Linked DNA regions of Saccharomyces cerevisiae S288C. The gene in region 2 interacts genetically with the main gene of each other region. Each region holds a gene or a part of one and is shown on either strand. Other genes may lie near its edges.

The links.
Region 1: of ROY1 (region 2) and YMR1, extra expression of one rescues a mutant of the other (dosage rescue), as found in Saccharomyces cerevisiae (one study listed by BioGRID).
Region 3: mutations in ROY1 (region 2) and THI72 together harm fitness more than expected from each alone (negative genetic interaction), as found in Saccharomyces cerevisiae (2 studies listed by BioGRID).

The regions. Positions count from the first base shown.
Region 1 is NC_001142.9:631,633-636,226, reverse strand, and holds YMR1 (phosphatidylinositol-3-phosphatase YMR1), read right to left. Parts: upstream 2,613-4,594; coding exon 546-2,612; downstream 1-545. Other genes in the region: PXP2 (Pxp2p), read left to right, coding at 1-372; carbamoyl-phosphate synthase (glutamine-hydrolyzing) CPA2, read left to right, coding at 3,286-4,594. UniProt on the Saccharomyces cerevisiae protein: Lipid phosphatase which dephosphorylates phosphatidylinositol 3-monophosphate (PI3P). Involved in the control of PI3P-dependent signaling and in the maintenance of endosomal system integrity.
Region 2 is NC_001145.3:782,115-786,217, reverse strand, and holds ROY1 (Roy1p), read left to right. Parts: upstream 1-1,936; coding exon 1,937-3,598; downstream 3,599-4,103. Other genes in the region: tRNA methylation protein TRM732, read left to right, coding at 1-1,597. UniProt on the Saccharomyces cerevisiae protein: Non-SCF-type F-box protein involved in the endocytic with the vacuolar sorting pathway. Acts as a repressor of YPT52 by inhibiting the formation of active, GTP-bound, YPT52. Involved in the defense mechanism against methylmercury toxicity.
Region 3 is NC_001147.6:698,223-702,532, forward strand, and holds THI72 (thiamine transporter), read right to left. Parts: upstream 2,346-4,310; coding exon 546-2,345; downstream 1-545. UniProt on the Saccharomyces cerevisiae protein: Low affinity thiamine transporter responsible for intake of thiamine. It is possible that the primary function is the uptake of closely related compounds and that thiamine transport is a secondary activity of these proteins.

The DNA of each region.
Region 1 (4,594 bases), on a different chromosome or scaffold from region 2:
GACAAGACAATCCAGGAAAGAGATCATACCATACAGAACGGCTTACGGCATTGGAATTCAATATACAACAAAGTCTCAACCCGCGTGGTAAACAATCTAAACTCTTCGTACCCAGACTTATGGTATTATACACTGGTCCATGTATATGGCCCTTTGTTTGCCTTTGATGAGATACTATCTGCGCAAGAGACAAGTTTAGTGATAATTGCTTCTTTGGTTCCACAAGATGTTAATCCTCAATTGCGTGGGCATTTGAAAGGTGCCTTGAATATTGGTTGTGATAAGGAAACTGTGGAGGCAGTGAGAGGATTGGCTATACTAATATCTCAGTGGTGTGGTGTTAGTTGGAAATCTGGTGTTGTAAAATTGTAAGCCCCTTTGCCGATCGGCCACTCGTTATGCTCATAATATATGTACCCTTATTCATTAAAATTAATATATATATATGTATACTAACAACGGAGAAATGCTTGAACTTTTCTATACTTCTATCATTGTATGCAAAATACTAACTCACTTATTTGTCTTCTTTGCCGTTAACCAGATCACTTTCTATTAAACATATCAAATCCAAAAATTGACAAATTTAAACCCTTACCGCCATCGGAATTACTATGCTCTTTACTCTTTTTATCCACCGATATGGGTACTGAGTCTCGTTTATGGCGTAATTCATCATTCATTTCTGAATCTTTTCTTCCATATAACTGCCACCACCATTGGACTTTCTTCAGATCCGGCGAAATCCACTCCACTTTTTCTTCCTCTTCAAGGTTTTGATCGTGCTCATTCATGCCGCTTCTTTTTCTCTGTATGAAATTTGGATTTATGAACTGCTTTCTTCTAGATCTGAAGTAGTCCCAGACACTTTTAGTCTTGTTTGGCAAATTCTGTTGAAATTTCTCCTTCTCGCTATTGGAAAGGAATGTTCCATATTGGCATGAATACAAGTGGTAAACTAGTCTTCTTAAAAATCTTTCGTTGAATTCAAATAGATCTGGGTTTTGCGTCAAAAGTTGGTATACACAGTCTAAAAATTGTTGGAAAACTGGGGAGACGAACTTTAGACTTTTCTTGTTCAATTTAAAGTTTTCGTTAAATTTTTTGGAAATTCTACTCAAATTAATTAAATTCGTCTCATCTTCACCTCCTTCATCATCTTCAGCATAATCGTCTTGAGTGTTAACACCTATGTCAAGATCATCGCCATTGGTATCCACATCGTTGAAGTTGGAATGCATAGTGTTATCATGAAATCTAATATCAGAGTTTAAATGACCACTTCTTTCCAAAAACCGGTGACCAAAAGAGCACCAATCTTTTTCCACTAGGATCATAAAACCTTCAAAAGTTCTATAGAAAGGATCCAAACAAATTTCTAATAGTGATACAACTTGACTGGTTCTGTCCCAACCGTCAGAACAATGAACCAAAACGTTGGAATGATTGAAAATGATGGACTTTAAAAGCATATCAACGGATTTTAAAATAAGAGTGTTCAACTTCAACCAATTGGAAAATTTTTGACTCCTAATTAAATTCTGTTCCAGTGGTAAATTCAAATCGCCACCTTGGCAGATAACTTCCGTCATGTATGCAGCTGTGTTGGAAACAATATGAATGTTATCTATACCAAGAAATAACCGTGTAACTGTGGGCAGTTTTAGACTTTTATCGACACCCATATTGTTATCAGCTAAAAAAAAATTATAATTATCCATATTTTCTGTCCCGCCACCCAACGCCATCTGTGCTAATGCATTTGTTCTGGGTCTGGCATCTACTATTACATGTTTCGTTCTTCTAATATCTTTATTACAAAATGAGTTGAAGCTTTCCCAAACTAATTTTTCATCTTGAATGGACCTCTGATTGATCAACCCCGGTAATGGTTGAGATGACCTAAGAATGTTGCAATCTGTTGCCTTGTGATGATAAGTTAAAACAGGAATTCTTTTCTGTGATCTAAACTTCGAAGCATGCTTCAATAATATATCTGACGTGGATCTTGGTACAAAAAGTTTTGAGGGATACGTTGGACAAAATTCATAGTGTTCGTTTACCGTGGATAGCCTCCAAGGACATGTTTCATCTTTACTGTCGAGGCCCTGCCTTCGAAATTCCTTAATTGGGTCATATATATCCCAGCTATCGGGTGAAGGTAGTTTCCTTTCCAGATTGTTGGATATGTAAATAAATGCATATAGTTGCGTGATATTGGACAGGACCGTCAAATTTAAGATGGAATCATACACCTTTCTTGCCTGTAGATGTAAATCACCACCGAAATCCAATGAGAATACCGCATAATCTTTCCCAATTACCTTGATATTTACAAAAGACCATAGATCCTTACCCTGGTAAAGCTTGTAATTCTGTGAATCCGTTCCCTCCAATTGGATTTGATTAGTGGAAGTCAACTTGGACAGTAATGTACTACCCGGGTTTTTATGCACTCCATAGATCAAAGGATATGGAAACCAAAATTCCGTCGACAATTGTGGTGACTCAAAGATCAAATGGTGAGTAGTCAAATGTAAAGTACCTTGTGTGGCCGTACCTCTTCTATGCAGCACTACATTAGATACTTTGGCAATCTTGATGTACTCCATCTTTGCGGAATGGTATACTATTTCTTTTCCCTCTTTTTAGCACTATTACACCCCGCCCACAAAATAAAAATAATAACGACGACCTAATCTCACCAAGTGACCCTTGTAAAACCTCCTTTTCTTTATAATGTTTCTTTTCTTACTAATATTTGGTACATTTAGGGTAGTGATAAAAGAATGGCAACATTGTTATTATTGTGAAAAATGAGGAAAATAGAAAATCAGAAACCCTAAAAAGTGATTTTACCCTATCAGAAATATTCAAATGTCCTAATTAAAAATAGTAAATCCCCTAAACATTCAGATTGTAAACTAGGGTTGAGAAAATGACTCATCCACCACTGTCTTCTTTCCTGCGGCATTCTATAGATTATTGTGAATGACTCTTATTGATGAGATGGCAATAACTTTTGAATATCAGAGATAGGAACCTCCATGTCGTAACGATTGTGTCACCTTGAGTAAGCATCGAGAAAATCCAATCTTTTTTTTTCCGTCATAAGCATTTCTGCCATGCTATTTGTATATATATAATTACTAATACGTCTTCTATAGTATGCCTTATCTCTTTTTTGAAGCGCTATTTAAGTTTAAGCATCGAAAAACTAACATCTATAGTTAAAATTAGTTCTATAAAGGAAGAGCAATACAGTACATAGACAGGAAGAAAAGAATGACATCGATTTATACATCAACAGAGCCTACGAATTCTGCTTTTACTACCGAGGACTACAAACCTCAATTAGTTGAAGGAGTAAATTCTGTACTTGTCATTGGATCAGGAGGGCTCTCTATTGGTCAAGCTGGTGAATTCGATTACAGTGGTTCTCAAGCTATCAAAGCTCTGAAGGAAGATAACAAGTTTACTATATTGGTTAACCCAAATATCGCTACTAACCAGACTTCTCATTCCCTGGCGGACAAGATTTATTACTTGCCCGTTACACCAGAATACATCACATATATCATTGAACTTGAAAGGCCGGATGCTATACTTTTAACCTTCGGTGGTCAAACAGGTCTAAATTGTGGGGTGGCTCTGGATGAATCTGGTGTTTTGGCTAAATACAACGTCAAAGTTTTAGGTACTCCTATCAAAACTTTGATCACTTCTGAAGATAGGGATCTTTTCGCATCTGCGTTAAAGGATATCAACATTCCCATCGCAGAATCATTTGCTTGTGAAACCGTGGATGAAGCTTTGGAGGCTGCTGAAAGGGTCAAATACCCAGTTATTGTCAGATCTGCATACGCTTTGGGTGGGTTAGGCTCAGGTTTCGCTAACAATGCAAGTGAAATGAAGGAACTTGCCGCACAGTCCTTGTCGTTGGCCCCACAAATTCTTGTTGAAAAATCTTTGAAAGGTTGGAAAGAAGTTGAATATGAAGTGGTCAGAGATAGGGTTGGTAACTGTATTACAGTATGTAATATGGAAAATTTCGACCCACTTGGTGTTCATACTGGTGATTCTATGGTTTTTGCTCCTTCGCAGACCCTATCAGATGAAGAGTTTCATATGTTAAGATCCGCCGCAATTAAAATCATTAGACACCTTGGTGTTATTGGTGAATGTAATGTCCAATACGCTTTGCAACCTGATGGGCTAGACTATAGAGTTATTGAAGTGAACGCACGTTTATCTCGTTCCTCTGCATTGGCGTCTAAGGCCACTGGTTATCCCTTAGCATACACTGCCGCCAAAATTGGGCTAGGCTATACTTTGCCAGAATTGCCAAACCCAATCACAAAAACTACAGTGGCTAACTTTGAGCCATCTTTGGATTATATTGTGGCAAAAATACCTAAGTGGGATCTTTCTAAGTTCCAATACGTGGACAGATCCATTGGTTCCTCTATGAAATCAGTTGGAGAAGTTATGGCTATTGGTAGAAACTATGAAGAAGCCTTTCAAAAAGCATTAAGACAGGTGGATCCATCATTATTGGGATTCCAAGGTTCTACTGAATTCGGCGATCAACTTG
Region 2 (4,103 bases):
ATATTCGGGAAGTGAAAGAAAATCATATCAAATTGAAAGCATTTTCTTGGTCCTTAATGTGCTACTGAGGTTACGGCCTACAGCTGGCTATACTGGTCTAAAAGAATTCAACGTTTCTGTTTATGAATGTTTATCAAATGAGAACTGGAAGATCAGAGATATGGCCTCTAGAGTATTGCATATGCTGTCGGAAAATTTTGAAGAAGAGATAAGAAAATTACTTGACTTGGCTTCTATCGCGAAGCAAAACCAGTTACATGGACACTTACTAGCACTCCAACAACTAGTACCACAATACCTTTCAGGAACTAGAGATATGGAGTTGATTCAAAGGATACTTGAAAAGAAAAGGATGCTTCTACTAGAGAACAAGTGCTTTATCACTAAAAAGGCCTACTTAAAATTGACCTGCTGTATATTGGAAACATGCGACATACCTGATTCTATTTTAAAAGATTATATCAGCACTTTGCGGAACACATTTATTGCTGAAAATAACGAATATGTTGTGGATGGTAGCAAACAGCTATATCTTGCACAAATCTTAGACATGCTCTTAAAATATGAGGATAGTATATATCTCGATGATATTTGCTTATTAGGATTGTATTCTCCATTTTATGAGGCTCAGCTCAGTACACTACAGTACATGAATACTAACTTTCACTGGGAAACTACAAGAAACTCAGAATTTCTTGAACAACTACAATTATTACTCAGGGTTCCAGATTTGCTGCCTATGGCTAAAGCTTTAGTAGTGAAAATTCTCTCAAGAAAAAAGAATACTTTATCCCTGACGACCTGCACTGATCTCCTAAAAACAAATAATAGTGAAGATACAAAACTTGCTGCCGTTTCATCACTAAGTGCTAAATTGTCTTCGCAAACCTTTCACCAGGTATGGAACTTGTTACAAGGATTTTTCGCCGATTCTTGTTCAAAAGATTTTAGATTGGCATCTTTAGAATGTTTAACTGCTTATCCAGAAAGTTGTAAGAACTCCAGAATACTATTACAACTGTACAACTTCTTATGGGACGATGATTCTGAAATAAGAGAAAAGGCTTCTTTTTATTTGAATAAGAACTTTATTCAAACTGCAGACTGGGAATATAACAGGAACACCAGTGTGACCGCTCTTATATTCACAAAAAAGTTTGTTGACGTATTCACAAGTTCTGAGGTGGTAGAAGAGTTGTGTTTACAGTTGTTTCAATATCTAAATGAATATGATATGTTTGCTGCCGAAGAATCGGCGAAGAATTGTCTATTTACTATAGAAAAGGATAACCAGTTCATCAACGAACTACAAAAGGCAATGCATATATTAAATATGATAAAATTGACTGGAAGGGATATCTCAAAGTGTTACAAAGACCAGATACATCACCTAAAAAGTGCTCTATTGGAGCACTTCAACACCGAGGATTTTAAAGATTCCCCACTCGGCTGGTGCTCTAATGCTGAAATATTTTCAAGAATAACGCTTTTAAAGGAACTGATTCAACATTATTCTCCTTCTGATTATGAGAATTTTATCAATGTTCTGACTAAACATTCTGTTCATCCCCTAATTATCAGTTATTCCCAATTATAAATAATGAATATGTACAGATATATACTTTGCATATAATCTGATTCATCTCTAACCTACTTGTGGATTTAGTGACGAGATTCATTGTGGAACCTATTACAAAGCATGTCGATTTCTATTCTAAATACAATGATGGAACTTGATTTAATTTCTTTACCGTTGTCATTTTCTTTTGAATTTTTTCCACCTCTTTTTTTGTTGAAAAATGTTCATGGATGGAAAATTAAAGGTGTGCCCTATTACAAAAGCAAGTTGTACCCCTTTACTAACTCTCTAGTCAATTTGAACTATTGTGAAAACGACAGTTGTGCTCACATGATATAACAAAAGTAATACTGACAAATGGCATTCCAAGATCAAGATATATTCATAGTGTTCTCGCATGCCTCCTTATTTCTTAATCAAAATGATTTATTAAGCCTAAGTCTAACATCCAAAAAAATGCATGACATGATTGCAATCCCTCGTCTTTATAGCAATATTCACATAACTAAGAATCCTGTTTTAAGAACAAACAAATGGTTTTTGGACGGGGGAAAAACTTATGTAAGTGGTTATAGATCTGTTCTGAAAACCGGTGACAAGAATGACATATTTTTATATGATAGAATTGAAAGGTTGTTGGAGACATCGCATTTAAAATGTATAAAACAGCTGACTATTGACGAGGATTTGTTTCACAACAGGGAAGAAGGATTGCAACTGTTACAAAGATTGGTCAATGAAATCACTGACTTGGACGTGATTGAAAGTCTTGACATCAAGGATCCTACCTTGTTTGAGTTATGTTCAGCAAAGTATTATCGCCTGTCAAGTTTAAAGAAGAGAGTAGTATATGGCGAAACTGGATTTGATGGTATCAAATTATGGCAAAACTTCAAAAGCTTAAAATGGCAATTACCTGAATCGTTGGATTTGCAAAACGTAATAATCCCTGAAGTGGGTGTAATGTTAATGAAGCAACTTAATGGAGGAGAGTTAGAAATAAAGGACGAAGCGTACTCAAGCCTAAGGGTCTTTGAATACTTTGATTCCCTGAACCTCCGCTTCAAGAATCTGCGCCGTTTGAAGCTTAATCATGTTCACAAACAAGGTGATGGGAGTGCTACTTCTATGAGATTATCTTCACGCGCGTTTAAGGATGTAGTTAATTTATCCAATCTTAAAGCCCTTGAATTAGAATTTTCTTGTGAGGTGGACGACTGTGAATGTGATGATGACTTTCTTCAAGATATAACAGGAAACCTTGTTTCCTTAACAAGTCTGGGGTTCATTGAAAAGACATTCACCAAAAAAGGGTACCATTACATGGACGAGAAATGGGACTTGGTCGTTAATAAGTTTATTTTAAATTTACCAAACGTGAGTAAAGATTTGCGTTTGTTAAGCATACGACATGACCCACCTTTAAATGGCAAGGGCATTGATACTGTTGATGGGAACTTGCTTCGCCGTAAAAAACTTTATGAAAAGGTTTTACCAAAGCTAACTTCGTTGGAAACAATAATAGCTCCAACTGTATTGCAGTCCATCACCTCATATGAAATGTATGCGTGTGACCTTTTGTGGAACGGCTGCAAATGTGCGTTCTGCTCCAAATACTTACCATTATTTGATAAGTACATCATGAATCATCAATACTTTTCGACCCCGGATGCAAGATACTTGGATATTATACCGATAGTGTTTGCAGCATATACTGGAAAATCTCTAGCTAAGAGGTTTGATCCTCAGAAGAACTGGGATTTGGATTTACTACAGTATGCCCCTGAGGATACGACGTGGAATTTCCATGGCTTTGAGAGAATTCATCACTTTGCAAGTTATGAATGTTATTTTGACGAATCCTCATTTGAGCCCTTAGCCACTATTATATCGCATTTTTTTTATCCTTACATGAACTACTTGATAAAGATATTGCCAAACCTTCGCCAAACTATGTTGTCAGGAATATACTTTAGCGTGAGCCCAGAATTACACACTTATGAAACTATTTATGATTAAACTTGATAGTTGTGATAAACATTTCTTATGTACATTTGTTGAAGGAGTTCGTATATATACAGCCAGTTGAGTAATAATTATATTTTACTATTGCATTTCATAATTATTACCCGGACCTTACGAGTTCTTCGAATAATAACCATATATTTCAGAAAGGTAGGCATACCGAAGGAAGAGACAATGAAAAAACTGAAATGAACAAGCTTCTGTATACGATCCAAGGATCAGAAACGGTTGTTATTTATTGTTTGGACTTCTTGTTGTTAGGCTTTATTTACCGTGCATAATACTATCTGATACTTTGAGAAACCCCTCCCCCCACAGAAAGGTTCAAAATTTACAATTGCTGCACTAGGTCTACACTTTCCTCTAGATTTGTAACTTGAAGACCCCATTCCAATCGTTTAACCTGTCTTTCCTTTTATTATCGTTTTATTCTCTTCCTTTTTTATAAAATTCTATCTGGTATAGAGCATTTTTATGTTGATCATAACTTTTCATGTAT
Region 3 (4,310 bases), on a different chromosome or scaffold from region 2:
GATGCTCTAGAAAAGGTTTCTTATCAAATAAGTTTTGCTCTTTAATCGCACAATGCAATGCAAGTTATTTTTTTTTTTTTGATTTAATGACTTTCGATTTCCTCTCATAGGCAACCGGTACTTATCATAAGTACGTAATAAGAAAAGTATGTCGCAGGACGTCATAAGCTCAGACTTGAACAAAAGAGTAACAAAATCGCCTCCACCTAATTTTCAGCCCTACTAGAGCCTGATAGGATATCGGCACTGAAGCTGATAAGAGAATCAATGAAAATATCATCCTCAACAGAAATACTGAAAAGAAGCGGTAGTTTTTTTTTCTTGTTACAATTATCAGCCAAACAAAAACAGTGATCTGAATCGTCAATCAAACATTAGTGGAAGAATGAAATAATCGAAATGACCTCTATATCCTGTACGACCAACAAGCTTAATAGTAGTGTTTCCTGGGACTAAAGAGTGTGTTTAATTATCTCGAATTTTAATACTAGCGAAAGATCTTGAATGAACACTAAGTATGATCATTTTATTAGGTTTTTTGCTCATTAGGCAATTTGTTTTTCACTGGAAGTAGAGGATTCCTTTTCATTATCTTTCTGATGAACAATTTCAAACACTTTTGTGTTTTCTGAACTAGTTTTTGTCAACTCAGGTAGTTCATCATCGGAGCTCTCAGGTTTGTATTCGTGTCCACTTGTGAAGCATTCGCCTAATGTGTAAGCACGGATTTCTTCTTCAGAAATTTCACTGTATGGAACCATGCCCTTCTTCCTTGCTTCTTCGTCGGTAAACGCACCGTAGTAATCTTTGTCATCATGTTTGACAGTAATTTTGAATGGGAAGAGGAGGCATAGTCCCCAATAGACGAAAAAGGAAATCAAAAAGGAGAAGAAAGAATCACCATAGAAAAAATTTATAATACCAGTGTTGTGGAAATAGTCATTATTGACTTCCCAAGCGATACCAGGTAGACCGGGAGCCATACCACACACCCAGGCAACGATAGCTCTCCAGTTGACACCCTTGGTAAAATAGTATTCACCCTTTAGAACAAAGGCATTGGTAACGGAGTATTGTCTCTTCCTGATGAGGAAATTATCACAGATCATGACAGTGATAATAGGTGTCATTACGACACCGAAAGAGCTCATAACAGTCAAGAAAGTAGAAGAAGAGTTGTAAAAGTTCCATGGCAAACAGGCCCAGGAGACGCATGCGGCAAAAATAGCACCTCTCTTAATATCAACATATTTCGGTAATAAACCAGCCAAATCCATACCACTGGCAAACCCACAGTTGGAGATGGTATATGAAATTTGAGACATTACAAAACAAAAACCACAGAAGAATGTAGCTGCACGCGCGCCTGCAGAATAGTTAGTTGTCAACCAGTTGTCAAAGATGTCCATAGGCATCCAAAATGTTTGACCGTATAATTTTTCACAAGCAGAAGCACCAATGATACCGAATACTGGGATCAAGGTTGCTGGTATTAGTAAAGCAACTATAGTACCAGTCCAGATAGCGCAATTAGAGGAACCAAATCTGGAGAAGTCACTTTGATTGGTACAGCCTGGAGAAACAGAACCGTACCAGTACGAGATCGTATAAACCCAAGCCCAAGCCTTTTTAGAGCCAGTAACTGTGGAATGAGTAGAAGTGAACAAGTCACCAACACCATGTGCGCTCTTAGTTAAGTAAATTACCATACCCAACATGGCGAAGAAAGTACCAACACACGACCAAATTAAAATATAGTTCATATGGTATGGCTTCATAAAGTAACAGAACGCGGTAAGGATATGGAAGATAATGAAGCCGATCAATTCCTTGGTGGTCATGGCAACTTTCGAGGACAAAGTATTGGGCAGATGCAAATAGTGGTGAGACCAAGAATCTAATATCATGTTTACACAAAGCCCACCTAACCAAGCGTTGGAACCATAATAGACAATACTCATCAATATTCTGATAATGATACCAAGAGCTGAACCGTAAATCCCAAAGACGAATCTTTGAGCTAGAGTGAAGCCGACCTTCCAGTCATAGCCAGGACAAGAGTTGGCTAAAGCAAACAGGATGGTCAACAAATCAGCAATAATAAACGCACCGATGGTCTCTGAGTAACTTAACCCAACAGTTAATGCAGACGAACCGCCTATCCACATACCAACGTTGAAGGACAGAACACCCCAATACGCAAAATTAGACCAAAACCCCCACGTTTGATTAACAGACTTGATAGGTTGCAAATCAGGGTTCCTTAAAAAATTCACGGAGGCCCTATTTTTAACAGGAATTTCCAAAAATCTCAAAGCCCTGGAGATTCTCGTACCGAAACTCATAATGGTGTAATGCTAGAGTTTTTTTTGCTTGATAGTATATCAGATATGAGAGCAATAGATGATGATACAAGTTCTACAGTGGAAAATAACATGGTACACGCTCTTGGCAACATTGAAATTACAGCTCTCATATATAAAAAATGGAAAGAAAAAAGAGAAGAAAAAAGAGAAGAAATGAATTCTATTATGATAGCGAATGCAAAATATTCGTCCACATTCTTTTATCTATTGTCTTCCTTCTTTCTGTGCAACTACCAGAAAAAGCTATTTCATCTAGTCGAGTAGACTAATTAATGAATTATCTCGTCTTCCATATAAATTAATAAGGCAACCAGCAGGAGACGCCTATTGTTAAGCGTATTACGAAACCTGCGGATCTGTGCGCTATTGTTATGCCAGTGAAGGAGCCTGTCATCATGCACTCATGTGCCCGCGCGCGCGCTTCTGTGACTACAACTTATTGTAGGGCGTAGTACACTGACGCCTAGCGCTCAAAATACACATATGCAGTGTGGCCGACTATGCGATGAAGCGGAACAGTCTATCTTATGTGAATGGTTGCAAAATGCCGTTATATGGATACTACGGTGCGAACACGTATTTATAATAGGATAATCTTGTATCTATTCGTTTTATGCTACTAGTTCTAACCTTTAGGAAGTGTCCTTCACAATATCAGCCCTACATGCAGTGGTCTTCGTAAATCCTGTGAGGTTTTGTCTCATTTCTCTATGCTGGAAGGGCTTCGTAGAAGATTCCGCAAAATAATGGAATTGAAGCCCTGCGCCAAGCAAGCCTCACGAGGATCGTCGGTTCTGAGACGTAACCACGCTCTTGAATCTTGTTTATGTGATCAGCAATGACGTCTTCGGTGGTAATACCATTTCATTCCGGAAAAGATGAGTTTGTAGTCGGTTAGGGAGTACCGTGGCGTCCTTTCCTATTTCTGCAAATTTGCTGTCCATGTTGGCAACTACTCTCAAAGGTGGCAACTGCTTAGTAAATAGCCATATCGCTCAGAGATACATATCAAGAAACTCTAGCCAGATGATCACGAATCCCGAAGCGATGTAATTTTCCGTGAGGCAGTCCTGAATCAGGCCGTAGATTGACTATTAGCATCTCTTTTTGAGTATGCTAAGAAGTAGAGGGCTACCTTATTCCCACACACTTTTTACCACGGGCGAAACATTTATTTTCAAGTCCCAGCACAGTGATGGGATGAAGTCCAGGATGCGTCATACGGTCCTATGGCAAACTTCGGGGAAGGTTTAATATGCTGCTTTCAAGCAGGATTAACGGTAATCAACTCCCTAGGCAAATTGGCTCAACTCTGCCTATCTATCCACTGAGGATTTCAAATCCACCGAATGGGAGAATATGTCAGTGTCCATTTTGGAGTAAGGTATGAGTTCTTTTTTCGTCAGCTTTTCTTCTATATCTTACAATTGCTTATCTTAAACCACCGATATTTTTGCAGTCCCTTCATCATCGAGCACAATGGCCTATACGTTGAAATTTTGGTTTTGGTTTGAAGCCCACTCATCTTGGCATCGCTGACGTGTTTTCTTCCAAGATTTAAAGAGGACTACTCGGTGCAGGTGGACATCTCGAATGAATATGTTACCTAGCTTGATCTCCTCCATCAAATTACAACCTTTTTGCAGTGAATTTTGATACATGGATTTCGGAGCTTAAACACGTATTAACTGAAATTCAGGCATGGCGAGAAAATTCCCATCAGAACTTGAAGAATACTCTAAATACTACTGAGATAAACCGAGAGGTGACGTGAAATTCTTCCCAGATGTTCAATATATTATGAAAAACCATCCAGCTGAATTACCTCATTTGCAGATCAATTTCAAAGGCTTCGGTTCGGGGATAATGAGACATTCTGTCCAAAATGTCCCATTTATTACAGCCTCGGAATTAAGGTGCTTGATACTGTTCTCATAAACATGT